Linked DNA regions of Rhinolophus ferrumequinum. The protein of the gene in region 1 purifies or fractionates together with the protein of each later gene. This does not show direct contact. Links are inferred from orthologs where the notes say so. Each region holds a gene or a part of one and is shown in the gene's direction. Other genes may lie near its edges. The genes, in order: ZNF219, CDK2AP1 and CHD3.

The links.
Region 2: the proteins of ZNF219 (region 1) and CDK2AP1 purify together in Homo sapiens (affinity purification with mass spectrometry; 3 studies listed by BioGRID and IntAct, counting the BioPlex papers as one, with this or other methods). This does not show direct contact. The link is inferred for Rhinolophus ferrumequinum from reciprocal best matches to the Homo sapiens genes ZNF219 and CDK2AP1.
Region 3: the proteins of ZNF219 (region 1) and CHD3 purify together in Homo sapiens (affinity purification with mass spectrometry; 3 studies listed by BioGRID and IntAct, counting the BioPlex papers as one, with this or other methods). This does not show direct contact. The link is inferred for Rhinolophus ferrumequinum from reciprocal best matches to the Homo sapiens genes ZNF219 and CHD3.

Annotation. Positions count from the first base shown.
Region 1 is NC_046289.1:71,988,604-71,997,955, reverse strand, and holds the start of ZNF219 (zinc finger protein 219), read left to right. Parts: upstream 1-5,009; 5' UTR 5,010-5,435; exon of another isoform or gene 5,436-6,755; coding exon of another isoform or gene 6,756-6,836; intron 6,837-7,161; coding exon of another isoform or gene 7,162-7,308; intron 7,309-7,428; coding exon of another isoform or gene 7,429-7,539; intron 7,540-7,858; coding exon of another isoform or gene 7,859-7,915; intron 7,916-8,004; coding exon of another isoform or gene 8,005-8,115; intron 8,116-8,431; coding exon of another isoform or gene 8,432-8,470; exon of another isoform or gene 8,471-8,502; coding exon of another isoform or gene 8,503-8,610; exon of another isoform or gene 8,611-8,642; intron 8,643-8,761; exon of another isoform or gene 8,762-8,889; intron 8,890-9,352. Other genes in the region: TMEM253 (transmembrane protein 253), read right to left, coding at 6,756-6,836, 7,162-7,308, 7,429-7,539, 7,859-7,915, 8,005-8,115, 8,503-8,610. UniProt on the Homo sapiens protein: Transcriptional regulator. Recognizes and binds 2 copies of the core DNA sequence motif 5'-GGGGG-3'. Binds to the HMGN1 promoter and may repress HMGN1 expression. Regulates SNCA expression in primary cortical neurons.
Region 2 is NC_046308.1:4,503,324-4,513,030, forward strand, and holds the start of CDK2AP1 (cyclin-dependent kinase 2-associated protein 1), read left to right. Parts: upstream 1-5,225; 5' UTR 5,226-5,302; coding exon 5,303-5,357; intron 5,358-7,808; exon of another isoform or gene 7,809-7,819; coding exon of another isoform or gene 7,820-7,874; intron 7,875-9,707. UniProt on the Homo sapiens protein: Inhibitor of cyclin-dependent kinase CDK2. Also acts as a component of the histone deacetylase NuRD complex which participates in the remodeling of chromatin.
Region 3 is NC_046304.1:11,049,639-11,059,696, reverse strand, and holds the start of CHD3 (chromodomain-helicase-DNA-binding protein 3), read left to right. Parts: upstream 1-5,811; 5' UTR 5,812-5,823; coding exon 5,824-6,103; intron 6,104-6,189; exon of another isoform or gene 6,190-6,323; intron 6,324-10,058.

The DNA of each region.
Region 1 (9,352 bases):
CTTGATCTTACAGGTGATGGGGACAACGGAAGGACTGGTAAGCAGGGAAGAAAGTGGTCACATTTATTTGAAGAATGTGGAAGATGTAACCAAGGAGGACAAGCCTGGAGGCATAGAAACTATTTAGGACTCTTTTTTCTGTGGTCGGTGAGATGTGATGAGGAGAAAAGGACTGATTCAAGAGCAAGAGGAAAATCTATAGAATGTGGTGAGTATTGGGCTATAGCAAATGAGGGAGAGAGGTTTAGCATTCAGTTTGTGTGACCAAAGGATATAAGACAGAAAGTTCAGAAGCGGGAGTAGGGGGCAGACAAGAGGAGAGAATTTCAGGTCTGCGATGTGTAACACATTTCCTGTAGGCCTCCTTTTAAATACAAGAGAAGTTAGACATTAACTTCTTGAAATCTTTCTTATCATATCTCTCTCTCTCTTTTTTTTTAATTGGGGAAGGGGAACAGGACTTTATTGGGGAACAGTGTGTACTTCCAGGACTTTTTTTCCAAGTCAAATTGTTGTCATTTCAATCTTAGTTGTGGAGGGTGCTGTTCAGCAGTTGTTGTCCTTTCAGTCTTAGTTGTGGAGGGCGCAGCTCAGCTCCAGGTCCAGTTGCCGTTTCTAGTTGCAGGGGGCGCAGCCCACCATCCCTTGTGGGAGTCGAACCAGCAACCTTGTGGTTGAGAGGATGCGCTCCAACCAACTGAGCCATCCGGGAGCTCAGCGGCAGCTCAGCTCAAGGTGCTGTGTTCAATCTTAGTTGCAGGGGGCGCTGCCCACCATCCCTTGCAGGACTTGAGGAATTGAACCGGCAACCTTGTGGGTGAGAGCCCACTGGCCCATGTGGGAATCAAACCGGCAGCCTTCAGAGTTAGGAGCATGGAGTTCTAACTGCCTGAGACATCGGACTGGCCCTCTTATCATATCTCTTGAAGGCATTGGTTTTCAAGGAGGGGGCTATCTAGCTTCACAGGGTACATTTGGCAATGTCTGCAGATTTTTGGTTGTCACAAATGGGGTGAGGTTGTGTTGCTGGTATCTAGAGGGTCAAAGCCAGGGATGCTGCTAAACATTCTACAACGCATGGGACAAAGAATTATCTGGCCCAAATGTCAGGAGTGCCATAGTGGATAAATTCTTTCTAGGGACTAGAGGAATAGAAATTAAAGGTCATCTATTCCAACTATTCAGTTGGTATTTGAATACTTGCTTCAACAACCTATCAGTGCAGGATAAGCATGTTGCAAGAAACATGTCTAACATATCCAGAGGTTCAGAGTTCAACTTCAAAGTAGCTCATCTTTGAAAGGTGTTCAGTTTCTTCTCTTTTTGTTCTAAAATCAGCCTTTCTATAACAAGTAACCCAGCTTCACTTATTAGATTCACAAAGAACAGTTTCTCTTCATCATATTATTTTTGAGATTTATAAAGACAGGAGTCCTGTTTCTTCTGTGCCATGACTTGAGTCCTCTCGCTTTACTTAAAGCATAAGAATGAGTACATAGTATTTTCTTTACACATAAAGGGAACACATAATTATAAAGAAGCAAAACAAATTATTACATCTTGGGATCTGGGACTTGGGGAAAACATTTTAAACAAGAAAACTTTACAAAGGCAAGGTAAAATAGACATGAATCAACAAAGACAACTCATAACTCTGGACAGAACATAGGAAAAGTTTCTAATGAGAAAAATACACCAAAGATACAGATGATAAGTAGAATCCAGAATAACATGAACCATAAAATATAAATAAGGCAGAAAAAAATGTAGACAAAGACGAAAAACAAAAGAAACAGAAGACAACTCCCATTAAGTAAATGACATCTGAATTTTAACGAGAAGCAACACACATCAGCTTAGTAGCAGGTTATCTCTGACCTGAGGATCTAGGAAATTATACAAGGAGGCCCTTCTCCCTGACGTTTTATACAGGGAACAGCAGATTAAAACACCAAAGGCAGCATTTTCACTCCTCCTCTCTCTCCTCCCCTCTTCCTCATCTTCCTTCTCCTTCCTCCTCTTCCGGAGTTAGGGGTAATGGTGGAGTCAGGGCTCTCCATAAAAAAAAAAAAACAACAAATGGAAAGTGTACAGGAGGGACTAACAGGAGGGACAGACAGTTCTACAAACTTACTTTAGCAATAGGAAAGTTAACACATTTTTTAAAAATTAGCATTTATTGGGGTGACAATGGTTAGTAAAATTACATAGGCTTCAAGTGTACAATTCTGTAATACATCATCTATATGTCACATTGTGTGTTCACCACCCAGGGGCAGTTCTCCTTCCATCACCATATATTTGACAGTTAACACATTGTGATAATGAAAAAATAAATAAAATTAGCGCCAAGTAAAAATGTTTTCCTGCTTCTCTCCTGTGCTCAGTGACTGCTCAGTCATCAGTAGCCCAGCTCTGGGCAGTCTCCCAGATTCCCTGTACCCTGGAGAGGGACCTCTGATAACTTCAGTGCACAGACTCTGTCATATTTATAGGAAACATTGTCTCACAGTGACCACACCGCCACTGTTCTGTTCAAACCATCAATCAAATACCGAGCTTGAGGCAGCATCAGCAAGGCAAGCCAAAATGAAGGGCGTGGACGCGGAACAATACAAAATGAGTTTAGACAAGAAAACGCAATCCAGAAACGCAATGGGATAGTCTCTTCTCACTGAGATTAAGAACATCCCAACCCCAGGTGGTGAGTGGTGAGAGGCTACGGAGCATTCAGCAGGCCAAGCAGGCGAGGTCAGCTCTGATTACTCCTGGGTAGATGAGTTTACTGATTTCGGTGGCTCGTGTCCAAGATTACGTAACAGGCACAGAGGCCCAAGGGGGTGAGGATGACCCGGAAGGGCCCTGCGCCTGGCGCCTACTCTCGACGTACAGATTCCGCTTGGGCCACGTGTGCTGCTGCCCTGGTGGACTCATTGCAGGGGAGGGATTTGGGGAGCGCCTCGCGGCGTGCAGAGAGTCTTTCTCCAACTAAGCCACTCCACACGCCATTACCTTGCGGAAGACTCTTTGTGAGACCTTGACCCAGGCAGCCGAGAAGCCACGAGATGGCAGCAGAGGACACAGCCCGGGGCACAAGACCTGAACCATCTGCAAACGCATATATTTTACTTGGGAAATATCATCAGTTATCTATAATCATGAAGTCAAGGCCAGAATATCATAGAAATGAGGGTAAAATTCCACACGGGGAATTTCCCAACCACCGGAGAATTCGACCGCATACAAAGCCACATATGAATCAGATATTTCTCCAATGCTTAAAACATTGGGGTCAAGGCCTTTAAAAACTGGCATCAGCAGAAACCTGGTCACAGTCACTTCTTTCTGTGAAGTTCCAATGGGCAGCAATATAAGTAAAATGTGAGTGACTTCCACAGAAGCTGCCAAACTGACAAAGAGATAGATACACTGGTTGCTGGGAAGCACTGTAGCAAAGCATTGCAACCAGGGACTCTAGCATTAGGCAGTGTGGAGGGGGGAATAATGAGGATCACAGGACAAGCCTCAGTCTTCACTTGCAGCTGGCAGAGGCTAATGCACAGGAAAGGGGCATTAGTAGCACTGGGGTTAATCTCCGATCTTCTGACTTCTCATCTAATGCTCTTTTCATTACATATCTGCCCCTCCCCCAGTCATAACTACCAAAAATGTCTCCAGACGTTGCCAAATAACGTCCGGGTGGCAAAATACTCCTCCTTAATAACCAACGCCATAGAGAGTTCTGAATAAAAAAAAATTTAAAAACGTAATGCTAAACCTCTCCAAGATTTGAATTTCAGAAGACGCCTCGAAGGCCAACGAAAACTGTTATTGCACATCTAAAACCTGCATTCCTACCATGTTTGTATAACAGAGGGGCTATACTTGAAGGGCAATAGGCTGAATCTGGTCCTCAATTAAAAAAAAAAATTTCTTAGTGACATGTTAAAATCGGATTTCACATTTAAAAGTCAGAATTTCTCACTTGTATAGGAAAATTGGAACTATGACAATACCAGACCCACAGTTCCACACGGCAATAACTGGATGGAGTTGAGGGGCAGGGGGTAAAGTATTTAAATAGAATGTGTTTAGTTTGCCACAGTTCCCACCACTTCCTATTACTGCACACCCTATCTGCTTCACTCATTTACACTACTCCTCATCCCAAAGGCAATTTATTCTCAGCCTCTGAAGTGCTTCATAGTTTTATTTTTCCATGTATAATTTTATTTTAGCCTTCATACTCCAATAAGATAGGATAAACACTATGATTACTAGGTATCTACATGTAAGCAAAATGTAGTTCAGAGAGGTTTGACTTGCCCAAACTTACACAACAAAACCAGAATCTAGATTTCCTGACTCTCGATTCTATTATTTTTTTGGGGGGGAAAGTTTCTATTAAGAACTTCATTTAGTGGTTCATGGAAAAAAAACCATAGTAGATATGGGCATAACTGCTAGAACAGATGAGTTCCAACTGCTGAGCTGTTCAAGAATCACTGCAAATGATTACCTCTTATTCTTTTAATGAGTCTACTTCCCTTAGCCTTCCAGGTGTATGAACAAACTGCCCTTCTGTCTTGAAGTTGGGTGTGGCTATATGACTTGTTTTGGCTAATGAAGTCTGAGCGGAAGTGATACGTGTTCCTTAAAGGCAGAATCTTTTAAGAGCCCATGAACAATTCTTCACGCGTTTTTAGGGAGAGGGGTGACTCTAAGCTTCATGGTAGGATCTAAAAATGGTGGAGCTCCATATGCTTGGGTACCTGAATAGCTTATAATGAGCAGAGCCCCCTGCCAGATTACTCTAGTGTGAGATAAACCTTTGTGGTTTTAAACCATTGAGATTTTGGCATTGTTACCACAGCATAACCTAGCCTAACCTGACTGCTACAGGTTTATGTGCATGGTCATTGAACTTCTCCAAGAACTAGAATGCAATTCCTAGACTTCTGATCATATCACTAAAAGCTGTTGCTCCTATCTGGAAGATAGAGAGAGTGAACTGTTGACTTTTTAGCCCCCGTTTCCTCATCTACCACCACCTCTGACATGGAAATTATTTTCTGAGTACTTCACACATGAGCTCTCCATTATTCTAACAGTTAGATTGGGAGAAGGGGGAGGCCCATATCTTATTTTCTCCATTCCAGAGCCTAATCCCAGAATTGTCCCCACCCACTAGTACTCACACAACCTTGTCATAGGGCGACTATTACCACTCCCAAGGTGTCACAAACAGAAAGGAGTTGCCGCTGGCACCGCTGCAATGCTAGGGCAAGGCAGCCAGGCTGCGCTCTTTCCTCACTGGTGTCTGGGCTTGGCTAAGCCAGGAGAAGCAGCATTCTCTAAGGGAAAGAAGCCTTCTCAAATGGGAACAAAAATGAGTGTGAGGCGCACACCCATCCTGGGCTCTATGTGAATTTGGGGTGAGTTCTTTTAGTACTCCAGCTCTGGTCAATTTCTAGTTTCTCTGGCGGCTGGTAGGTTGTCCGGCTTAGTACTATTGGGCCTCCCAGTTTTCCTGGGCTTTTCTCAAGTCCACCTGAGCTTGTCATCTTTGCACACTAGCAAAGGTCATAAACGGTGGGGGTTGTGAGCAACCAGAGCTTCAGCCACCGGATCGCAGCCGGGATCAAAGGTCGGCGGCGCTGCAGACAGGCTGAGCCTGCGCAGTCCTGCTACCGTTTTGGAAAGAAGGGGTGGCGGCCACGCGGGCTCGTTACACCCGCGTGCTCTCAAGAGGCGGGAAAGTCTTAGGTTGGGTCGCCGCGTCCCTCCCTCTTCCTGCCCCGTCCACCCGTCTGCCCAGCGAGCAGGTCCTCCTCAGGCGCCCAGGCTCCGGGGGAGGGGGACGAGAAGAGCCCGGGGATTCTGACTCATCATCTCCAACCCTTTCTCGCGCGCGCTCCAAGTCTCAGGACTTTGGACCTGGGCACTGTAGGAGGGGGCGCGGCGACAGTATCTGGGGAATCCCAGCTCTGCCCAGGGTCAGCTCCCAGACCCTGCCTGTCTCCGAAGCTGGCAGAGAGAGGAGTGTGGCGCCACAGTCTGCTCTCAGTTGCTGAGGTTGGGGCGGCGGCGCCCCCGCGCAGAATAACCCGCCCGGCTCCTCCCTAAACGTGGGGCCAGTGGTCGCGTCCGAGGAAACTCAGCTAGGCCCGGACTTCCAGCACCTCGCGTCACTCAGCAGATGCACAGCGCCCCCACCGCGGAGAAAAGGCTCTTTATTTCCCAGCAGGCCACGGGGTAGCGAGGCATCCTGGGATTTGTAGTCTCCGCTAAACTAGAATGGAAACGGATCCGAGGGAAGGGAACTAAAGCACCAATAATTGATTTCAGAGAGTGGGCAGGCAGGGGAACCCTGGCTCGGAGTGGGTGGGATTGTGAAAGGTGGAAAGAAGAGAAGTAGTGAGATGAGGCAGATGTTAAGCTGTATGGGGAGGCCGTGGGGAAGGATAAAGATGGAAGGGAGGAAGTGGGTATAGATGAAAGTTGGTTTAAGGATGCCCTGCAGGCAGGCAGCTTTTCAGGGCAGTGAGGTGAGGGAAGACGCTGATCTAGGTATAGCTTCCCTTAGAAGAGAAAGGGGCCTAGTTTGAGTGAAAACTGAAGGCATTCCACCAGACTTCATGTTGATCTCAAGGGACTCCATCTAGCTTCTGACTTTGGTGGGGTGGGGTGCAGGAGGGTCTGGAGAACGCTACCACAGGGCAGGAGAGCAGCACCTGCCTGCTTCCCTTGCCAGTTCACTCATTTGTTCCGTTTGTTGTGCTAGCCATTGTGGGACGATTCTCCAAATCAGTAACTTCCTCCAACTCAGAGAGACCCTGAAAACCAGACAGAGGTGTGAAGGGAGTAAACTGTAGGGGTGAGAAAGGTGGGATCCCAGACAGAAGCAACTTCCTCCTCCTCCTGTCTCATTTTTTTCTCGTGTTCTCATAGCCCTTCCAATACTTACACAGCTTCCTAATGTTCTCCCACATTTCTAGCCCCAACTCTTTAGTTACCCAATTCCCTCTTACCCACCACTAAGGGATAATTGTCCAAAGCCAGAAAACCAATCATTTTCAGTCTAGGATACCTTCCTTGCCTCCCTGCCCCAAATGAGCTGCTAGCTATCTGCTCCATAACTTCCCTCCCTGCCTTCAATACCTCCTGCAGCTCCTGGTAGTGCAGACTCTGGCTCCTATAGCATCCTGGCTTCCTCTGGCTCAGCAGGAACAGGGAGTATGCTGAGAGCAACACTCCCCCCAGGGTGAAGGCTTCAGTGCTGATCTCTAGCACCAGCAACCTGTCCAACTGCAGGTAGACAGGGCTGAGGGTGCTGCAGAGGACCCAGCACCTGTTTCTTCAGCCCTTTTCCCTCTCCATCTCCTCTTGCCTCCTCATCCTCCCACCTTCTCCTTTATTTGCCCATACCTGGGAGGGGGCAGTTGGGACAGGCCCCAAGACTGTCTTCATCACCTCGACCACCACCACGACGAAGCCAAAGATCAGATTGAAGGTGTTGAATATCATCATGGCCCGTACCTGCCAGTGAGCCAGCTCAGCACTGCCCAGCCTAGGGGACTCATTGCAACCCCAAGCCCCACCTGCACCTAGCCGGAAAAAAAACCCCCTCAGCTCTTCTTCCTCCACCTCCCAACAGGGCAATCGTCCTTTTAACTCTTTTGCTTTCCCTCCTCAGTCTTTTAGGCGTCAGGGGCAGACAGCTGACAGGATCAATCAACACTTAGAGAGCCACTTCCTGGGCTGAGAGGTGTGTGTGTGTGTGTGTGTGTGTGTGTGTGTGTGTGTGTGTGTGTTGGGGGGGGTGGGAGAATAGTATTTCATTCTCTTCCTTTTTCACCTTCCAGAGGCGGGGTGCTCTGCGCAGCTCAAGGGTAACAATCCCAGTGAAGAGACCCTGAATGGTGAGAAAGGCAAGTGTTGAACTCTGGCCTCATTAATGAAGAGCCTCTAGGACCTTCTACCCTCTGTTGTGGTGGATCTTACCGATGCTCCAGGTCCAAGCGGTAGTGCTGTGGCCATGTGACAGTCAGAGTTCAGGCAGGCAACTGAGACAGCAAAAGGCACTAGAGCCACTGCCAGCCATAGCTGGCTCACCTGGAGGCCAGGGGCAGGATGGTTGAAGGGAAACTGTCAGGAATTCCCTACCCGCCTCCAAACCCCTGCTTCTTGCAGAGATCAGCAATTGGCAGGAATACATGGTGGTGGAAAGTAGTCAACCAAGGGCAGTAAAGGAGGGGGATATAATTTAATTTCTTCTGCCTCATGTCATAGTTTAGTTACTTACCTATGTGTTTTCCCCACACGATGGAAGCTACTTAGAGATTAAGGGTCTTGCCTTGTTTATCCTATGCTTCCTCCACCCTCCTCCCACTCAGAGCCTAGCAGTTTCAAGTACATGGTAGATGCTCACAAAACATGGATGGAACTGAACTGGGGTACAAGTGGACATGCTGAAGCTTGGGGTGGGGCATCTGGCCTCACCGCCAGCACCAAGAGGTGCCCACTCTGTCTGTGCCTTGCCCAGTGCTGTAGCTTTTCCAGACGAAGGCTGGATCTCTCCTGCTCTCGCTGACCAGCTCTGTCCTCCATGGCTCCCTTGACCACGAAAGCTTGGTGCTTTCCTGGAAAATACATTATAGCACCTATCAAGAGACAGGACATGCAAAAACATCTCTTTCAGCTGCCCCTCTACCCTATTTCAATATCCAGGGAATTGAGTCTCAGAGCCTCTCTCACCTACCTTGTCTGAAGCAGCTACTCCAAAGTTATGGGACCCAGCTGGGCCTGGAGGTCCTAGTAGCACAGAGCAGACAGGCTGTCAGGGCTGGGGTGTGGTGGGGCAAAGGTCCCCATGAGGGACTAAGAATCCGGGGAGTGGCCATGGGTAGACAGTTCACTCCATAAGACGCCCAGCCCTGCCTCGCTCTGTTCCTGTTTCCCGTTGCCCCCATCTCTGTCCATCCTGGGTTCCTCTTCTGATCACTCAGCCATGGACACTACCATCCTGGGCCCCAATTTCCCCCCATTTCCATCTAACATTTCTCCTTTTTTTGGTTTCCTCTTCAAATTACTTGCTGTTCCCTAGGGCAATCCCATATTACTGTCTGGACTGGTACCCTGTCATTACCACTTGCAGCTTTGTCCCAAGACCAGGCAAGGTTCAATTCTCCTCGCTTCCTCTCTCACTTGCTGAATGGTTTCTCCTCTCTCCACCCTTTCTTGAAGGATTTACTTTGGATGAGACTCCGACGAAGTGGATGGGGCACCCTATTTATAGTGGGGATTGTTTTTGACTTGGTGGTAACCTGCACCTAGACATGTATAGGAGATA
Region 2 (9,707 bases), on another chromosome or scaffold:
CTGTTGCAGTGGGTTCAGTGGTAGTCCCTCAAAAGCTATGTCCACCTGGAATCTGTAAATGAGACCTTTTTGGAAAAAAGTCTTTGCAGATGGAATTAATTCAGGGATCTCAAGATGAGATCATTTAGAGTCAGGTGGGTCCTAAACCCAATGACAAGTATCCTTAGAAGAGAAAGGGGGAAGACACAGAGAAGAAGGCCAAGCGAAGGCAGGATGGGAGTGGTGCTGCCACAGCCAAGGGACACCTGGAGTCCCCAGAAGCTGGAAGGGGCGAAGGACTCTCCCAGAGCCTTTGGAGGGAGCATGGCCCTGCAGCACCTTGATTTCAGACGTGTGGCCTCCAGAATTGGGAGATGGTAAATTTCTGTTGTTTTAAGCCACCAAGTTGATGGTTAATTTGTTGTGGCAGCCCCAGAAAACTAACACATCTGGTAGAGAAAGTGAGTTGTGAGCAGGTAAAAGAGAGAACCAGAGTCCTTGCAGAAGAAAACTAGTCTCACTTTGTCCCAATTCGAGCAGCACACTGAGGCCATCCCGGAATGTTTTATGTGCCTGACTATAACATTGAAGGATACAGTTCTTCCTTTCAAGAAGTTCAGACTCATGGAGGAGACAGACCAGATGAAGTGCCATAGCAAGCATTCGTGGAGGCATAGCCAGCCAGGGAAGGCTCTTCAGAGGTGGGCTAGTTGAACTGGGCTTTGATGGATGAACAGGAGTTTGCCAAGCACAGCACAAGGGCCAGTTGGTGTAATGAAGCCTGAGATGTGGGAATGAACAAGTACCAGGGTCATACCCCAGTCTGGCCTGAAGAAAAATAACAAATAGTGGGAGGTGACGGGTAAGGTGATGAGTGTGGTGGGGTCAGAGGAGACAGCTAAATGTGGCTGCCATGCCTAGAGTAATAAGCTTCATGACATGATGGGGACTGTCTTTCCTGCTGCCCCCAGAATAGTGTCTGACACTTAGTAGACACTCAACAAATATTTGTTGAATAAAAGCGGGAAGGAGGGGAAACTGACAAAGTATTTGGCAAAACCTAACACTTTCATGATAGAAACACTCAACAAACTAGTAATAGAAGAAACCACTCAACTTGATAAAGGGCATTGATGGAAAGCCCCATCATATTAAATGGTGAAACACTAAAATCTTGCCCCCCAAGATCAAAGACAAGGATGCCTGCCCTCACTACTAGCCACCATTGTCCTTGAGGTTCCAGTCAGGGCAATTAGCCAAGGAAGAGAAATAAAAGACATCCCATTTGGAAAGGAAGAAGTGAAACTCCATTCGCAGATAACATGATCTTATCTACAGAAAACTCTGAAGAATACTCATACACACAAAAAAAATTAGAGCTAATAAGAGAGTTCAAGAAAGTTGGAGGATACAATATTACATACAAAAATCAGGTGTGATTTGTACATGCTGCAATGAACAATCCAAAAATTGCAAAAACAATTCCATTTACAATAGCATCAAAAATAATGAAATACTTAGGAATAAATTTAAAGTACAAGACTTACACACTGAAAACACTGTTGAAGTTAAAGAAATAAGACCTACATAAATGGAAATCCATCCTGCGTTCATGGATTGGAAGACTTCATGTTGCAACTCAGATAGCAGTACTCGCTAAATTAATACACAGATGTAATACAAGTCATATCAAAATTCCAATTGCCTTTTTGTGTGTGTGGCGAAAATGGACAAGCAGATCCTAAAATTCATATGGAAATGCAAGGGACCCAGAAGAGCCAAAACCATCCTGAAAGAGACAAAATTGGAGCTCTCCCACTTCCAAAGTACAAAGCTACAGTCATCAAAGCCGTGTGGAACTGGCACGAGGACAGACATAAATCAATGGAACTGAGTCCAGGAATAAACCCTCAACAAGGGTGTCGAGACCATTCAGTGGAGAAAGAACAGTCTTTTCAACAAATGGTGCCAGAACAACTGGATATGCACCTGCAAAGAATGAATGGGTCCACATCACACCGTACACAAAAATTAACTAACAATGGGTTAAAGACTTAAATGTAAGACCAAAAACTAAAAACTTTTTAAAGAAAACACAGGTGACAAATATTCACGGCCTTGGACTAGATAGCATACCAAAAGCACAAGCAAACCAAAGAAAAAAGAGACCTATTGGACTTCAAGAAATAAAACGTGTGTGTGAAAGACCCTACAGAAAAATAAAGACCACCCAAAGAACGGGAAAAACTATTTGCAAATTATGTATCTGTGAAGGGACTAATATCCTGAATATATAAAGAACCCTTACAATTTAACCTAAAAAGGAAACTCAATTAAAAAATAGGCAAAGGATTGAAATAGATGTTTCTCCAAAGAAGATGTACAAATGACCAGTAAGCACATGAAAAGATGCTCAGCATCACTATTCATTAGGGAAATGGCCAATCAAAACCAGGAAATGCTACTTTACACCCAACTGGGATGCCTAAAATAAAATCAGATACCGTGTTTCCCCCAAAATAAGACCTAGCCGGACAATCAGCTCTAATGCATCTTTTGGAGTGAAAATTAATATAAGACCGGGTATTATATTACATTATGTCATATTAATATTATATATATTATATTACATTACATTATAGACCCGGTCTTATTTTACTATAAAATAAGTAAAACAAGACCGGGTCTTATATTAACTTTTGCTCCAAAAGACGCATTAGAGCTGATTGTCCGGCTAGGTCTTTTTTTCGGGAAAGCAGGGTAACAAGGAGTGTTGGTGAAGACAATGGAGAAATTGGAACCCTCATACACTGCTGGTGGGAATGGAAAGTAGTGCATACACTAAGCAAAGCAGTTTGATAGTTCCTTAAAAAGTGAAACATTAAAAAAAAAAATAGTAACAGGGTTATGGTAATTCCATTCCAGTATATACCCCAAAGAATTGAAAACGTTCATACAAAAACTTGTTCGCAAATGTTCATAGAAGCCATATTTATAACAGCCAAAAAGTGAAAACAACCAAATGTCTGTCAACTGATGAATGAACAAAATGTGGCCTATCCATACAATGGAATATTATTCAGCCATGAATAATAAAGAAATAATATATGGATACATGTTGCAGCATGGACGAACCTTGAAAACATGCTGAATGAAAGAAGATAAAGGTCAGATGATTCCATGCATATGAAATGCCCAGAACAGGTACATCCATAGAGACAAAGTAGAGTAGTGGTTGCCTAAAGCTAGGGGTAGTGGGAAAAGGGTGACTGCAATGGGGTATGGAGTTTCTTTTTGGGGTGACAGAAATATTCTAGAATTAGATAGTGTTGATGGTTGTATAACTGAATGGATTAAAAACCACAAAACTGTATACTTTAAAAAGCTGACTTTTATGCTAAGTGAATTGTATCTCAATTAAAAACAAGGGAAAAATGTTTTCAGGGATAATCAGGACTTAAAAGTGAAGGGTGGTGAAAACACAACAAAACTGAAAAAGAGCCCAGGACATTTGTAGGCGGGACTGGTGCAGGCCACTGAGATCTGGATTCTCACCCCCAGGACATGGAGGTGCAGTGGAACAGCTCATAGGTGGTGGTACCAGGATTAGGGCCTGCCCTGGGAGTCCGCTGCTTGTAGCTGCTTGCCCTGCACCGCCCCATAGGAAAATCGCTACTGTGGCCATCGTGCGCTTGAAAGGTGGCTGGTCTGAATTCAGCGCATCTGAATCCAGATGTGCTGTGAGTGTAAAATACATGTTGGCTTTTGAAGACTTCATGTGATAAAAATAATGTGAAGTATCTTAATTTCTTTATATTCATCACATATTGAAAACAGTGTGGTGGATATATTAAAAAATATGTACCAAAGATTAATGTCACCAGTTTCTCCTTACTTTCTAAAATGTGACTACGGAAAAATTGAAAATCACATCTGTGGCTCGGAATGTATTTCGATCAGACAGTGCTATCCCAGAGTATTGGGCCCCTGGGGGGGGTAGGGGAAGGTGACAATTTATTTATGAAATAAAATTTTATTGAGTGTCCTTGGATGAACTAGCCTAAAGCTGATCACAAGGGGTGCTGGTTAAGCAGGGGAGGGGACGTCACCTGCACCTTCAATCCCAAAGGGAAGGGGCAGGGGCGGTATACCTTCCCTCTAGAGCTGAGAGGAACCTTCCTCACTAGGTGCGTGTGTCTGAATGTTTGGGACCAGTGTAAAAATTTGCAAGCCATTGTGATTAAAACACGATGGCAAAGGGTGGGCATCTTGTGTGTTTTGACGAGCTTTACCATCTAAGCAGAACTCCAAGAAATAGTACCTTCAAAAGCTTAATCATCTAATCCTAAATCCATCTGATGATTACATTTCAGTCAGCTTCGAGCATAGGCTGGGGTGGGGTCGAAGGAGGGCCAAAAATTGTACCTTAAACCCCAGGAGAGTAGAGAAACTTTGCCAAGTTCATTCTTGTACCCTTAGCTCCTAGAACAGTACCCGACACATAGTAGGCGCTTCTTAAATATTTGAATGAGTTACGATGCAAAATTATGTAAATGCAAGGGTGGATTTTCCAGGAGGAGATTCCTCTTTTTTGCCAGTCTCAAAGGATTCACAGGCTCCCAAAGGGTTAAAAACCACTAAATACAGACAAGGATGTGAAATTTATTTGAAATCAATGTTAGAATTGGTTGTTCTTATTCTGGGGAATAACCAGACCTCGGCGTCTGGAAGGATCTACGTGCTTAAAAATACCATTCGCCACCATTTTCTCCAGGTAATTTTCCATCCCTGCCCCCACAGTCAAGGAGGAAAAAAGTAATTGTGAAATCCTACCTAGCTATTAAAAAAAAAAAAAAATAAGCGGTAAAATAGAAAATCTCCAGGCGCCGAGAACGAAAAAGAAGAAAGGGACCCAGGCGGGCCACAGGCGCCGCCGGGACCCCAGCCCCCCAAACTTTGCCAAGTTGCGGGCGCCGAGCGCGCGGGGAGGCGCGGGGCGCGGCCGCGGGCGGAGCCGCCCCCTGACGCCGGGCCGCCCCCTCCCGGCCCGGGCCGGCCCCGCTGGCTCGGCTCAAAGTTTGCGGCCGCCCCTGCGCCCGCCCGATGTATGGGTGATATACTGCGGCGGTGTCAGGGTGAGGGACGGCCATATTTGCCGGTGCGGCCCGAGCCGTCAACAACAAAAAGTGCGCGGGAGCTCGGCGGGCGCACGGACGGGCGCACGGACGCCGGGCCCGCCTCGCCGCCGCCCGGCCTCGCCGCCGCCGCCGTCGCCTCGCGGGCCTGGCCCCGCTGCGCCCCGCGCGCCCCGCCGCTCGGGGGGATGTCTTACAAACCGAACTTGACCGCGCACATGCCCGCCGCCTCCCTCAACGCCGGTGAGTGAGTGCGCCCCGTGGGCCGCGCGCGCCGCGCCCCAAGTGCTGCCAAGTTGGGGGCCCGCACGCCGGGCCCCGGCCACGGCCCCGGGAGCCCCGCGAGGCCAAGGGCGACGGGCACCGGGTCCCGGCCCGGGGCAGCGCGGCGGCCGCCGCCATGATTCCGGCGCTCGCGCTGCCAAAGTTGGCGGGTGCGCCCCGCCCCGCGCCGGGCCTCGGGCCGGGGCTGGGCTGGGGCCCCGGGCGCAGGCGGGCGGCCGCCGCCGTCCCCCCCACGCCGGCGGCCGAGGACTCGCGGGGAGCGCGGCGGGCGAGGGCAGGGGAGGTTTTCCTCGGTTCCTTTTTCCTCCGGCTTTTGGGCGGCTCGGCGAGGGCCCCTGCCGGCGGGAGTCGGGAGCGGCCGGGCCGCGCCGGGAGCGGGGCGCGGGGCTCGGGCGCCGGTGGGGAGCGGGGGCGCAGGCCCGGGCTGCAGGGGCGCACGTGTGCAAAATCAGGCCAGCGTAGGCAGGGCCGGGGGGACGGCGGCGTGCCAGGTGCAGCAGCCCCTGAGGGCTCTGGGCGGCTGCGGCGGGGACGGGGGTCACCCGCGGTGCAGGGGACTCAGTCATCAGTGGGGGTTAAGCCTGGCACGTGGGAGCAGGGGTCCCGAGAATGGGGCACTGGGGAGGTCCCCCTCAGGCGTGCGCGAGTGGAAGAAGTTGGAGAGGACAGGGGGCTTCTGAGTACCTGAGGGCGGTGTGTGTGTGTGTGTGGGGGGGAACCTCTCCGTCGGGGCCCACATGTCGGAGCCCCCAAGTCTGGGCCTAGGAGGCCCCCTCCTGCAGCAGTTGGGAGGGGCCGCTCTCTCCCCTCCCTGGGACTGGAGCCGGGCAGTCCCGGGAAACTCCTCCAGAAGTTGTCAGGCCGCTTTAGGCTGTGCCCAGGGGCTCACCCTAGGGACTGAGTGAGACTGGGTGAGGGGCAGGTAAAATTGTGGGAGGCGGACACCACCGGCTTTGTCCCCTCACCAGGGCCCTTCTCCTTTAGACAGTTGGTTGGAAATACTTCCCCAAAAGCGAGGCACGTTGGTGGTGGGGGAGGGGACAGAAGGGAGGGAAGGGGGGTTTGGCCTTGCAGGTCAGAAATGCCACGCTGGCAGTTGGCCGCAAGTGTTGGGCCTTATCTCCAAACGGTGGCTCCTTAACTCCAGAAATCTGAAGAGGGACCCAAAAAAGCCGTGTGTGTGTGTGTGTGTGTGTGTGTGTGTGTGGTGTCTGTGTGTGTTTAACTTCTTGGACACAGATTTGGGGATTAGAAAGGGTTAAGATTCAGGGTACCAGTGTGGGGGATAGTTGAATTGGTCAAATGTGGGCTCTGATCCCCAAGAGCACACAGCACTGTTTTCTCAAATGTTCTCACCTGCTCTGGGGTCTGCAAACCTTACTGAGACAGGCTTTGTGGTGCAGGTAGCATTTCTCACTGCCTCCCTCATCTGTCATTTCTGGGGCAGGAAAGGTGAGGGTCTTGCACCAGCCTGGACAGGCGGGAACTCTCAGTCCTGACCTAGGAATAGTTGAGGCAGGGGCCCTAACCTGGGACCTTTGGGGACTGGGGTCACGGAGTGACGGGCATCCATTCAGGACCCCTGAAGCCCTGTTCTGGGCTGGCTGGCAGCTCTGCGCAGGTTTTCTTCTTTCTCCTATGGTGAATTCCAGGAGTGCTGAGGTGCCCGGATCGCTGGTGTTTCGGTGGGGGCCGCCCCTTCCCGGTGGACACCTTTAGAAAGCCCCATCTCCCCCTGCCATTTGCATCCAAGATGGACTCTCCGCTGCCGCTCCTCCGGCTTCCTTGCCATCATCCCTCACGCCCTCCAGCCCTGCCTCCTGCGCACGGGTTGCCAAGCCGCGGCCTGGCCGGCGGTGGCGGTGGCGGTGGCGGTGGCGGAGTTAGACAAAGCCCCCGCCTCTCTGACGGAGAGCCCCCCCCCCAAGGCGCCCCAAGTGGCGGGAAGGCCGCCAGCTCCCCAGGCCCAGGCCGCTCTTTGTCTGGTGTGGGGGCGGGGAGCTGTGCCTGGCCCCAGGAGCTGCTGGCCTCTGCCAGTCCCTCCCTCTGCTCGGCCTCCCTGGTCCCCGCACACTGCGTGCATTGTCTGCGATGCTCGGAAACGCGGCGCTCACGCCCAGTCTGGTTTTCTGCCTGGCCTTGCGCAGCACGACCCTCTGGCCCTTCCTGTGTCTGTAGGAAGGAGTGGGCATGAGTATAACTCTGGGCCCCTTGCCAACTCTCCAGGGCCACCTGCCCGCCCCTCAACACAGAGTAAGGGACCGCGTTGCCACAGGATTGGTGTCACCTGCCACATCACCTAGGTTACCCCTGCAACCAAAACTGGGCACTTTCTCGTTCCTCCTCTCTCCTCCTTAGCCTCCAAGCCCAGCACCATGAAAGAACAGGATCTAGAGCAATGTGGGGAACCATTGCCTCTGATGGAGAAACTGAGGCTCAGAGACGGAAGGGGCTGGTCTAAGGTCACACAGCCAGGTATGGCACAGCTGGACTAGCTCCTAGTCTAGACCCTTGCCTGTAAGGGAGAAGACAGGCCAGGGAGGCAGCAACCCAGTGAAACGAGCAAGAGGAGGAGGAAGGCAGGAAAATGCCTGGGAGGTGCCACCCCCATCTCTGCCAGAGAGCTGGTGTCTTCTAGACACCTTGAAGTGTAGTGGGATGATCCATGCTCCCCGCCCCCTGCCCCAGTCTCACAGTTAGTATCCTGGCCTTTCAGAGAGGTGTCACAATTTCTAGTGGTCAGGATTGGAACTCAGGGCTGGGGCTGCAAAACCTGAGACCTCACTCACTGGGAACGGGGGTTTGGATGATGTGAGGGGAGCTGGAGGCACGCACCCTGCCCCAGTTCCTGTACTCTGGCCGCGGCACACCCGTGGCTGCCTTGGATGGAGGTCAAAACGTGGTAGTTACCCCCATCCTGAACAGCACATTTCTGCAGTGCATTATCACTCCCCACTTTAGAGGCTCAGAGTCACCCAGTGATGTGCCCAGTTACCAGCTTGGAGGGATTAGAATCCATGTTTTCTGATTGGGCTTAAACCTGGGCCCTGGTGAGTAAATCTAGGGCAGGCCTGCGACCACGGAAGACATCTTGGATATAGTGTTGGGGTGTTAGCCTCTTCTGTGCTGTGTGGCCTGGGGCAGCACCTACCCTCTCTGGTCTTATTTCTGTCTATAGTGAGGGGCTCCATGGTGCTCTAGGGCCCCTTCCAGCTCCATCAGCCTGAGCTTCTGACCTTCCTTCCTCTCCGCCCCTCCCCTTGCCCACACTAGATGAGCAGCTGGTCCGTTTGGCCAGCCTGGCACCAGCTGTCCCTCCCCGGGGCCAAGTCTGCAGAGCCCGCTGTATGTGTGAGAGAGACCGTTTGGCTCTGCAGGCGGCAGGCGGGGGGAGCTGCTCCTAGACCAGGCGTGGAGGCAGGCGGGCAGCTGCTGAGGAGGGCTAGGTAAATTCTCCATGGTTACCGCTGTTTGTAATTCTGTAGGACATCCTTTACCCGCTAATGGCCACTCGGACGCCATTATGGGTCTGCTTGCTTCCAGCTCCGGAGCTGGATGGAGCTAGAAAATTCCCTGCTGAGGACCTTCCTACCCCCCCATTCAGGAGACTCCATGCTGAGCTGAGCCCTGGCCCCAAGTGGTCCTGCGCTGCTGAGGGACAGTGTCTTCCAGTGTCGTAGTCCATAAGTGGGGCCTTACCCCTCCTTTCTTGCGGTGTGAGCCATCCAGGCATTGACTCTGATTGTCAAGAGTCCTGGGCCCTTTTTGGGCAGAGAGCGACCAGCTCAGAGGTTGAGGGGCTTGTCTGGGAACACACACAGGCCGTGATATCCTCTAGCTCCCTGACTTTGTGTTCAATGCACCAGTTTCCAGCCACGGTTGGGTCTCCAATCTCCAGACCTTCCCTGTGTCTTCCTTATCATGTAGCCCAGCAGAGGTTTGGGCCCACAGGAAATCCTAGCCCCGCTGTGGACCAGCCTCAGTAGCAGGTGGGCTCTTGCGGCAGTGATGTGGCTCTAGGCTATCAACGTTAGGGGAGCGGGACTCAAAGAAAGGCGACTGGCCAGGATTAGGCTGAGAATAGCAGTATATTTCATCTTTGGTACCAGTCCTGACTGCACGGATGGGAAGGAGGTCTGTGATCGATTAGCCATGTCTGCTGTGGTGGTGAGTGTGAGGAGTAATGGCCTGTTAGCTACATTTCATATGTCATCGAGGCTGAGTGTCGCCCAAGGCCACACTAGAGGACAGGAGCAGGGCTCTCTGACCCGCAGAGACCAAAGACCATTGTTGATGACAGGGGTTGTG
Region 3 (10,058 bases), on another chromosome or scaffold:
TTATTACATATAAAGTATATTATATATTTACTATCTATAAAAATACACGTAAGAAATGCATAATCTCAGAACAAAGGACAGACCTTACCAGGAAAGGACAGAGGACAAACTTACTTAGCCATTTTGGGAACCACTGACTTAGAATTCTATCTCTAAAATTCCATACTATCTTCAGCATTTACATGCCTTTCATTATTATCACTAATCTATATATTTCAAAAGACAACTGGGAATTTCTTTAACATCTGCTTAGATAGAAAATCATAGATTGCAAAGTGTTTTTTCAGTTCTTCGATCTGCTTTGTTGCGTAAGTTCATGTTTATGCTCTATTAACCAGTCTCATTGGTTCCCTCCATCAGGGTTTTACCCTGGGGTACACAGACTTCAGGGTATTCATGAAAACATGTGTCATATTTTATATATTTATTGTTTTTCTGGGGGAAGGGTTTATAAGTTTCTATGATCCAAAAAACGTTAGAAACTATTGCTTTGGATAAGTTTCTTGCTTTTGCTTTAAGTAAAAAAAAATCTTGGGAGTCCCTTACAATGTTTTTCTTTTTTTGTGGGGGTGGCACAAGCTAATTTTGGGTTTGCATTTGACAGCTGCCTGCCTTTTTTGTTCTCATCTTAATGGTTTTCTCATTAAAAACAAAAAATATTCTCCTCTACCAATTAGTCATATGGTATTTAAATTATTTTATTTTTATTTTTTGAAGTACAGGAAAATAGCAAAAGGCACAGAATGGTGCCCACATTAAAAATGACAGTCATGAAGACAAGCAGCTAAAGACACTGAGACACACAGGCAAAGATAAAAGGCCTAAGGACAGACAGAATAGACAGATAAAAGAAATGTAGAGGAACCTGGAAACACAGAAGGAGAGACACAAGAACTGAGCAGACAGAAAAGAAGGATGGCAGAAAACAAACAGGCTGGCAAGGAAAGAAAGGAGAATGACTGACAGAGAAGCACGTAAGACCACCAAGAAGGACAGAGACAGACAAATAGGAAGAGAAAAAGAGAAGGAAGGCATACAGAAATAAAGGAAATAATAAGAAAAGAAAGGAAACGAAGTGATAATAATGTTTTATACTACCCAGTGCTTTATAATTTATAAAGTGCTATCACATACATTACTGCAAGCAGACAGGGAGAATCCAGCAGACAGATGGGGTGATGGAGGGATACAAGGATACAGGCCAATCACACAGAAGAGAGAGAAGGTAGCCAATCAGAAAGAGAAGCTAGAATGTAGCCCAACACAGAGTTAAGAGGAAAGACAGAACCAAGAAAAGAGAAGTGGGAGTGGGAAACGAGGGAAAGACAGAAGAGAGACACAAAGATAGAGGCTGAAACCATTACATTCAGGAATGCAGGCAGTAAAAAAGCAGAAATGAAAAGAACAGTGCATGTTGTGTAAAACTTTTATCATCATCTTTCTGAAGAGACCTGGATAGAGGCTGTGTCTTTCTTTCCCGCAATGAGTTGTAACATCACTAAGGTGGCATGTGAGAAGAGCTATAGGAAGGATGAAAAGGGAGAAAAGTTTTAGTAAGAAGAAAAGATTTTTAAGGCTAGGAGGAAGACAAACTTCTTGGACAGGCCTAGGTCAACAGCCAAAGAGTGCTGCTGAACTTAAAAGGATCTATATTCATATGCTTTTAAAGAATTTATGTAGATGTGGGAAAGGCAGAGCAGGCCTGTTACCTACTGTGTTCATGTAAGCTCAGCTTATAAACTATCTGTACTTATTAAATTATACATATATTTGTATAGTATTTTTTCAGTACTATCAGTGCTTTCATGTCCTTTCTCAATTCATACATACTTCAGTGATGAAGAGACCAGCAGAAGTGTGCTGTCATCAAGATAACCTATTATGCATAGAACAGGAGATAAGGAGAGAGCAAGACTGTCCTAAGTGCTCCTCAGGTACTAGTAGTAAAAGCATACAACTAGCAACCAGTCAATCAAAAAGACAAGTGCCATAAAGTAGACAACAGGCAAGAGATGACAGTCCAGCAAAATAGGAAGGAGTACTGACAGACTAACAGAAGCAGCAGCATCCAGCAAAACTGGGAGAGAAGTAGGAAGGGGTGCATCAAAAAGCAAGCAGATATATATGTGTGCCTCTTCTCTGGAACAATATCCAAGAAATGGGAAGTAGTGGCCAGTTCTGAGGAAAGAAACTGGGTGCTGAAGAGAAGGATAGGAAGGGAGACTTAGTCTTCACAGGACACTTTTAGTCCTTTAAACATTTTGTACATGCGTATATACTATCTATTTAAAAGTTGATTGAAAAAAAGAAAAAAAAGGAAAGCAAGCAGAGATGTGGACAGCAAGAGCCAGCCAGGTAGAGACAGCAAAAAGGCAGGAAGACAAGGAGAAACTGGGAAAATGGCAAAAAGACTGAGGCAGGCAGACTGTCTGAGGAACCAGAAAGACAGAAAAAGAGACAACTGAAATGGCGGTAAGCAGTGAGAGAAGGCAAGGTAGAGGATATGGCAAGAAGGCAGATAAGACTTTGGAGCAAGGGGTCACTGAGAGGTTTGGGATACAGCCCATCACCATTGATGGGATGTTGGGATAGAAAAGCCAAGGGAAAAAAAGCTGATAAGCAGACAGACTTAAAAGATACAAGCATTAAACAGTGGGATAGCAGCAAGCAAGTAGAGTAGGTAGGCAAGAAGACAGACATAATGGGAGGCAAGGAAAAATCAGGAACTTAACAAGCATAAATAAGAGGAGGAACAAGAAGGAGGATAAGATAAGCCAAGACAGGGAACCATGGCAGGGCATAGAAGGTAGAAAAACCCAGGCTAAAAGTGATAGAGACAGGCAGGCAGGGAGACAGATGGCTAGAGAGAGAGAGAGAGTGGTGGGCAAACAGCCAGCAAAGCAGACAGACAACCAGAGAGAAAAAGGCTGCCAGCCAGTCAGGGAGGAGCAGACCAGCAGGCAGGCAGGCAGACAGACACCATAATAGAAGTAAGTAGGTAGAAAAACAGGCAGAAACAAGGATAGTAGAAGAAAAATCAAGAAGTTAGTAGGGAGAGAACAGGAGATGCGGGTAGGCAGAGGGGGAGATGGACAAGAGGGAGAATCAGGCAAATTAAGAGATCTATATGCAAAGCACACACTCGAGAATGATAAATGTTTGTACAGGGATGCACACAGTCACCTTTAGTCACCCACACCTGCAGCTCGTGGCACATGTGGCAGGCAGGCAGAGGCGCTCAGCACAGAGGGAGAGGGAACAGAGGTAGAGAGACTGCGGCACACATGATGTGTAGGGTTGCCCACATACACGTGGGGACACTCTTCCCAGACACACACAGAAGGGCCAGAAAGAGGGGGAGTCAGGCATACACGAGGAAGAGGCACATGCAATCAGAGCCCGGAAGACAGAAGTAAACAGAAAGAAGACAGAGATGGATAGTCACTTAGAGGTGCTAGAGCCTGACAGTCAAAGGGATAAGAAAGACGGTCTTAGTAAAAAATAAAGACATACGTGCAGACAAGCCCGTACAGAAAAGAGAGATATCCAGATGGACTAGGAAGAGAGACTGAGAAAGAGGATAAATAAAACAAAATCAAATGGAAGACAGATAGGAATTAGATTCATACAGGAATGATACGGGAACAGAGGCAAGAAAATTCCAAAGTTCAGGTTAAGAAAAAGATGTAAATCAATGCTCAATAAAGTACATTAGTGTGTGTGTGTGTGTGTGTGTGTGTGTGTGTGTGTGTGTGTGGTGGGGGGACGGGAGGAACATCAATAAAGAACGTTTTAGCCTCATAAGCAAAAATCTGCATAGTATTCCTTGTACTAATACTTTCTGGTTGCTACCTACCTACCCTTCCCTCTTCAGGTGCTCCCAAACACTGCAGGGGTTGCTGGGTGGCTGGCAGCTATACTTAAGAGGTAGGGAAATAACCCAGGAGAGAAATGACTTCACAGGCATGGGATGGGAAGCAAGGGAAGGGGGAAAGTGAGATCAAAAGAACTAGAGTAAGAAAAGGGTGACAAGACTGAAAAAGGGTAGAACTGAGCCATTCACCCTTCTTCCTTTGCTAGCATTGTTCAACTGGCAAATTTTATTTTACAACTTCTCTTATCAAGTCTCTGGATGAGAAAGCTACTTTTGGACTCCTTTACAATATTCCATCGGATTTCTGGTACCACTATAAGATAAACACTGGGGTATAGTTGGAAATAATGGTTCAGAGTCACATGAAAATGTGAGTGTAACCCCCCTACCTCTGTCTTTCTCAGTCCAGGTTACTTTTCTTTCACGGTATCTCAGTTTCTTCCACTTCATCAGTGTTGGAGATTATGGAGGAAGGGAAATATACTGAAATAGGAGAAAAGAGAAAATCATTTCACAATCTTCCGATTTGACTCTTTCCCCTTTATTCTAAAAATCTGTTCTATTTACCCCTAAATTAATTTCCCAAGTCAGATGAATTTTATATTCAAGCAATTGGGGAAGGGGAGGGTGAGGTAAATGAGAAAAGGGTGAAGATAAAATGTACAATTATAAATCACTGAAAAGGCTGGGCAAAGGGGAGAATCAAACATGGACTCCTTTGAAAAAAAAACTCAATCATTGTATCTATTCATATCTCTCCCCCAAAAGTCACTAGGATTTCTATCACTTTTTTAAAGAAAGAAAAAAAATCCAGTATCACTTCTCGCTTAAAAGATACGTACACAATTAAACGCGTTTTGACTTCAATGAGGTATGTAGAAACAGTTATATATAAACATATATTTCATCTTTTTCCTTTTCAATGCCTGAAGGGGAAAAAAAGCCTTCACATCAAACCACTCCCTTCTGAAGTATTCAGAAAAAAAAAAAAAAAAGCTTTTCTTTAAGAGAAGGGAGGTGGGGAGGAAGAGACTAGTAAAGAAAAAAAATTAGATCTAGTTGGATTAGTATCTAACTAGTTAACCTTTAACAATTTATGCTGATGTCAGACTGAGCATGAGTACTGATTAATGCCCCCCCTCAAATATTTTTTATAAGGGGGGAGTTAGTCACAGCAGCCATTTTTGTTTTATGCAGAAATCCTTCATGCCCCCCCGCGCGCGCACACGCGCGCGCGCGCGCACACACACTCAGTACACAAGGAAAATATCTCTATTAATCTGTGCACTAATCAGTTATGAAAAAAGGGGGAAATTTGTGGGTTTCTGGGTAGAGGCTTAGAAATGGGGGTGTAACAAGGAGGAGTATAGGGGGTGAAAAATAAAATATTAAGCCAGCCATTTTGTTTTAAAAGGGGATTTTTCCCCCCTCTCCCCTTCTTCATGGAGGGGGTGGCCGTGCTGGAGGGGGGGTTGTTTTAAAAATAATTTCAAGGCGGCCATCTTAGTGCCTCAGCTCTGAGAAATATTTCTGAGCGCCCCCCTCAGAATTTAAATATATTTAAAGCAACGGAGAGGGGGGTAGAGAGTAGTCGAAAACTTTTATATATACATATATATATATATATTTTAAATCCCCCCTTCTTGTTCTCTTGGGAGGAAGAAGAGAGGGGGAAAAAAAGTCCTCAATTTTTTTTCCAAGAAAAATTTTTGGGGTGGTTTGGCCCCCCTTCTCAGACGGCGGCCCTGAGGGTGGGGGTTTTGGAGGGGGGTGGCCCAGGGGTTTGGGGGGCTGGGGGAGGCGGTGAGGAGGAGGAGGAGGACGCCGCCGCCGAGGAGGAGGAGGAGGAGGAGGAGGAGGAGGAGGAGGAGGAGGTGGTGGTGGTGGTAGCGGTGGGGGAGGCGGGCGGGCGGTGGGTGGGGGGGTGGTGGGGGGGCCAGAGCCACAGGATGGCTTCCCCTCTGAGGGACGAGGAGGAGGAGGAGGAGGAGATGGTGGTGTCGGAGGAGGAAGAAGAGGAGGAAGAAGAGGGCGACGAGGAGGAGGAGGAGGTGGAGGCGGCCGAAGAGGACTATGAGGAGGACGACGACGAGGGAGTACTCGGGCGCCGGCCGGGCCACGACCGGGGCCGCGACCGCCACAGCCCCCCCGGCTGCCACCTCTTCCCGCCGCCGCCGCCGCCGCCGCCGCCTCTGCCCCCGCCGCCGCCGCCGCCGCCCCCTCCGCCAGGTAAGCGGCAGCCCCGACTCCCCCCCTCCCCCCAGCCCGAGTGGGAGCTGCAGGCGCGCGAGGCCCGGCGGGGGCGAGGCACCCACCGCGCGGCCGAACCGAGGCGAATCCCGGGTGCGGGGCGCCGTCTCGGGCCCGTCGCCCCGCGGCTGTCCGAGCGGTCCGGGCGGGCGACGTTCGCGGCGGCCGCGGGGCCAGGCCTCCTCCCCTCCCCCGCCGCACCCCTCCCCCGCCGCCGCCGCCCGGGCCGGAGAGCGCTGGGCGCGAGCTGCGCGCACGGACCGGGCCATTCGGTTGCGGCTTTCGGGGGAGGAGGAGGAGATACATATATATTTTTTTCACCCTCGGCGGGGAGGGGGTAGGCAGGAAACGGTCGAGGCGAAGCCAAGGCCCCCTCCCTGGCCGAGCGAGGGACCGCGGAGACCCTGGCGGCCGGACGGCGGCGTGGGGGAGGGGCACGTGGGGGAGGGGCGGCCGCGCGAGCGCCCCTCGGGTTCTGGTCCGGGTGGGGTTGGACTGAGGTAAAGTGGGGTTTCCGCGTGTGGAGCAGACCGCGGCCTCAACCCCCTCCCCTCAGGAGTAGTGAAGGTGGGGGGGCGGTGTCCATCGGACCCCCCCACCTGCGGGGACTTCGGTGCCCGCCAACTCGGGCGTGCGGTGGCACGTGGGGGAGGGGTTGTGTGAATGTTTGTGGGCGGCCGATGACTAGGGGCAGGTGGTGGCCACACTTCACGCGGACCACTTCCTGGAATCGGACTTGCTCCTACCCCTGCTCCCCACAGTTCGTAACAGGGACAGCAGGCACTTAGGACAGGGGAGCGGGAGGCGAGGGTCTGGGAAACCAGATGCACCCAGCTCCACCCCATTCATCTTTCCTCTGCTCTGGGCTCTTTTGTGTCAAGTGCGCCTCCCCCCCCCCATGACCCTGTCAGTTTGGGGTGGCCGAGCTGCCCAGCTGTGACTCTCACGTGGCTGCCATTCACTGTCACTAACTCTCGCTGAAACCACCCACACCCTGACCACGTTGAGGGGCGTGAACTGCCCACCCAGCTGTTCTGCAGCTTGACCATCACTCAGCACCACTCCCCCCACCGCCTCCCGGGATGACAGGTCACCGGCACTCTCTGGGCAGTTCCTCCGGTGGTGGAGGGGACAGACCGCTGCCGCACCAGGAGCCCAGCAATGACCTTACTCAGACCACCCTCCTAGTGGAGTTATTTCTAGGCTTCTTTAGGATAGGTGACATCTTTAGGGTGTTCACACTTCCTGCTTGGGTAAGGAAAGGGGACATCCACATCCCCAGGCCTCTGGGTGCCATGCAGCACAAATGCACCAAACTTCAAAACATCTAACATCATGCTCTTTGTAAAACTCATATTGATCTCTGTGGCTTGTGTGGCAAACGTCCTTTGAGGGAGTGTAGGGTGCTTTCGTAAGAGGACAGGAGGATGCGTGTCTGATGGAAACAGGATAAAGTCTCCTTCACCGCCACCAAGCTTCTCTGAAAAAGGGAAAAGTTTTTAGAAAGTTATCCCAGAGAGCCCACTGATTTGCGCGAGGGAAAAGGAATAAAGAATTGTGGGGAGGGGGGGTTGCTTGGAAAACAGCCAAAGGGCTAAAAAGAGAGAAAGAGGATGTCAGGTTATGTTAGGGTATTGGCCGCTGTCACCTATTTGTATTCCGAACTTGGAATGTATTTGATCCGGGATTTGGGTATGAGAGAGAGGAGCATGAAAGAATCTGAGGTCGAGATGGGTCTTTGTGTCAACACTCCCTCCCTTTTCCCTCTTTGCTTTCTGAATAGATGAGAAGTAACGTCAAATGTTTTAAAAATTCTTTATTTGAAAAGAAAACCCACCTTTTCTGTCTCCCAGGGCGATTTTATTTCCCTTTCAGCCCTCCAAATCAAATGAGTGACCCAGATACACCCCCCCTCAGATGACTTTCTGAGGTAAAACTTTGGGAAAATATTTTTAGTCTGCTCATTATTTGTCTCCCTAAGTGTGGGCAAAATAACCCTCCTCTAAGGAAATTTTCTCGGGCTGCCCCCTTTCATCCTTCTCTAGAATATGAATTTGTGTGTATTAGAGGTTTCTATTGTTTTTCATTCTGACTGCTTTGATTCTCACCATTTTGTTTTACATTCTTAACCCAAGACCAATTTTATCCCTTCCCCCCTCTCCAGTCTCCTTACATTGTTAAACGTTTAAAATAATAGCACTCGTGTTGATGGGGGAAGGGAGCAGGAAGCCCAAAACTCATTTCTTCTCCCTCCCCCTTCTGGCAAGTCTAGAGAAATAATATAACATAATATATAGATGTGATTCCTTGGGGGTGGGGTGGGGGTGGGGAATGATTGTGGGTGGTGCGGAAAATTCTGGTAGTTTCTTTGCAAAAGGTCTGAAGATACAAACCCACCCCCTACGTGTAATACGCATGTGCAGCAGACCTATTATGGTGGTTCGTTGTGGGGGAGGGAGGGGAATTTGAGAAAAAATAAATATATGTGTGAGAGATTGATGGTGAGATTAGAAGAAAAGGGGCGGTCGGGAGGCGAGGCTTGCTGCGAGACTCCTCCTGCTTTCTCTGGCAGCCAGGCTCCGCCCTCCGCTCCTTGCCCACCCTCCTCCCTCGCGGTCTTCCCGAGATCTGAGCCGGGGATGTGGGAGAGTCTGGGCTCCGGGCCAGCATTGAGTGGCTGGTGAGACAGAGGTTGGGACTTGGATTTGCTTTATTGCCCTCCCTTTCCTCTCCTCGCCATTCTCCTTAGCCTCTACCCACCACCGCCTTCCCAAGTTCGGAAACCTCCTGCTGGGGTGGGGAGTGGAGTTAACTGGCTGCGAGGTCCCAGAGCTTGTGCCCCACCCCCAGCTAGTGGTGACCGAGGCCGTTTCCCTGATCGTTAGCCAGTTGGCCTGCCCTTGCCACTGCCCTGTTTCCCTGTTCACGTTAACCGAAGTCCCTGGGGTTAGAGAAAGTTGGCTTGCTGGGGCATGGTGTCTTACTGACTTTTTATTTCCTATTGCAATCCTCACTGTTTTCACACGGGGGGCTTTCTGCAGGCACCCCCTGCCCGCCCCCCCCACCCCAAACTCCCAATCCTAGAGTGTCTTCCTGCAGGAGAGGACACAGGATGCTGGAGTTTTAAGAAGTAGCATTGAAGGAAGGAGGTGCCGGGATTCTGAGGCAATGGAAACCCAGGCCTCCGGTGTTAATTGTGGCTAATCTTCCCTTGGCTGTTGTAGGAGGAAGGATTGTGTGTCCTAGAGCAAGGGGCTGGGCGGAGCCCAGGCTTTTCCCGCTCCTGCACAGACTCCTCTGCCTGAGCAAGACAGGTCTGGCTGGTTAGTCTAGTGCTTGCTGTGGGAGGGAGGCCAACTAGGGCTCCATGTCTGTGTGGCATCAGTGTCTTCCTCTATGTGGAGTAACTTTGTCTCCTAAGCCTCCACAGATGGGCAGGGGTCATGGAGATTGAATCAGGGGGACATCAGGGAAGAACTAGCCCTGACCTCTCTGACAGAGATATCTGGGGAGAAAGGGACATAGCCCTGCTGAAAGCAGGTACAGGCTGTCCTCGATTTGTGCTCATGAGTTTGTGTGTATGCCTGTCCATTTGAGAATACATAGGTAAGGTGTGTCTGTTCCTATATCTTTGTTTGGGTTTCCCATACTGTTTATATATGAATGGGTCAGGATGTCTGGAACTAGATTTGGAGACAAAGGGTGAGACCCTGGGACAAATGGTAGGGCCCCTGAATTCTCAAAGGGAGAAAGAATATGGAAATAGGTTTGAAGGCAGATTCCAGGCTCCTTATGAGGAGAAAGAATGTTTAGGTAATTGTGGAGACTTTCTCCTGTAGGATTAGCATGTGATGAAGGAGCGAGGCCTATGATCCAATGGGCCAGAAGTGAAAATGACCAGCTGAGGATTTCTTTTCCTCCAGGGTTGCGCTGG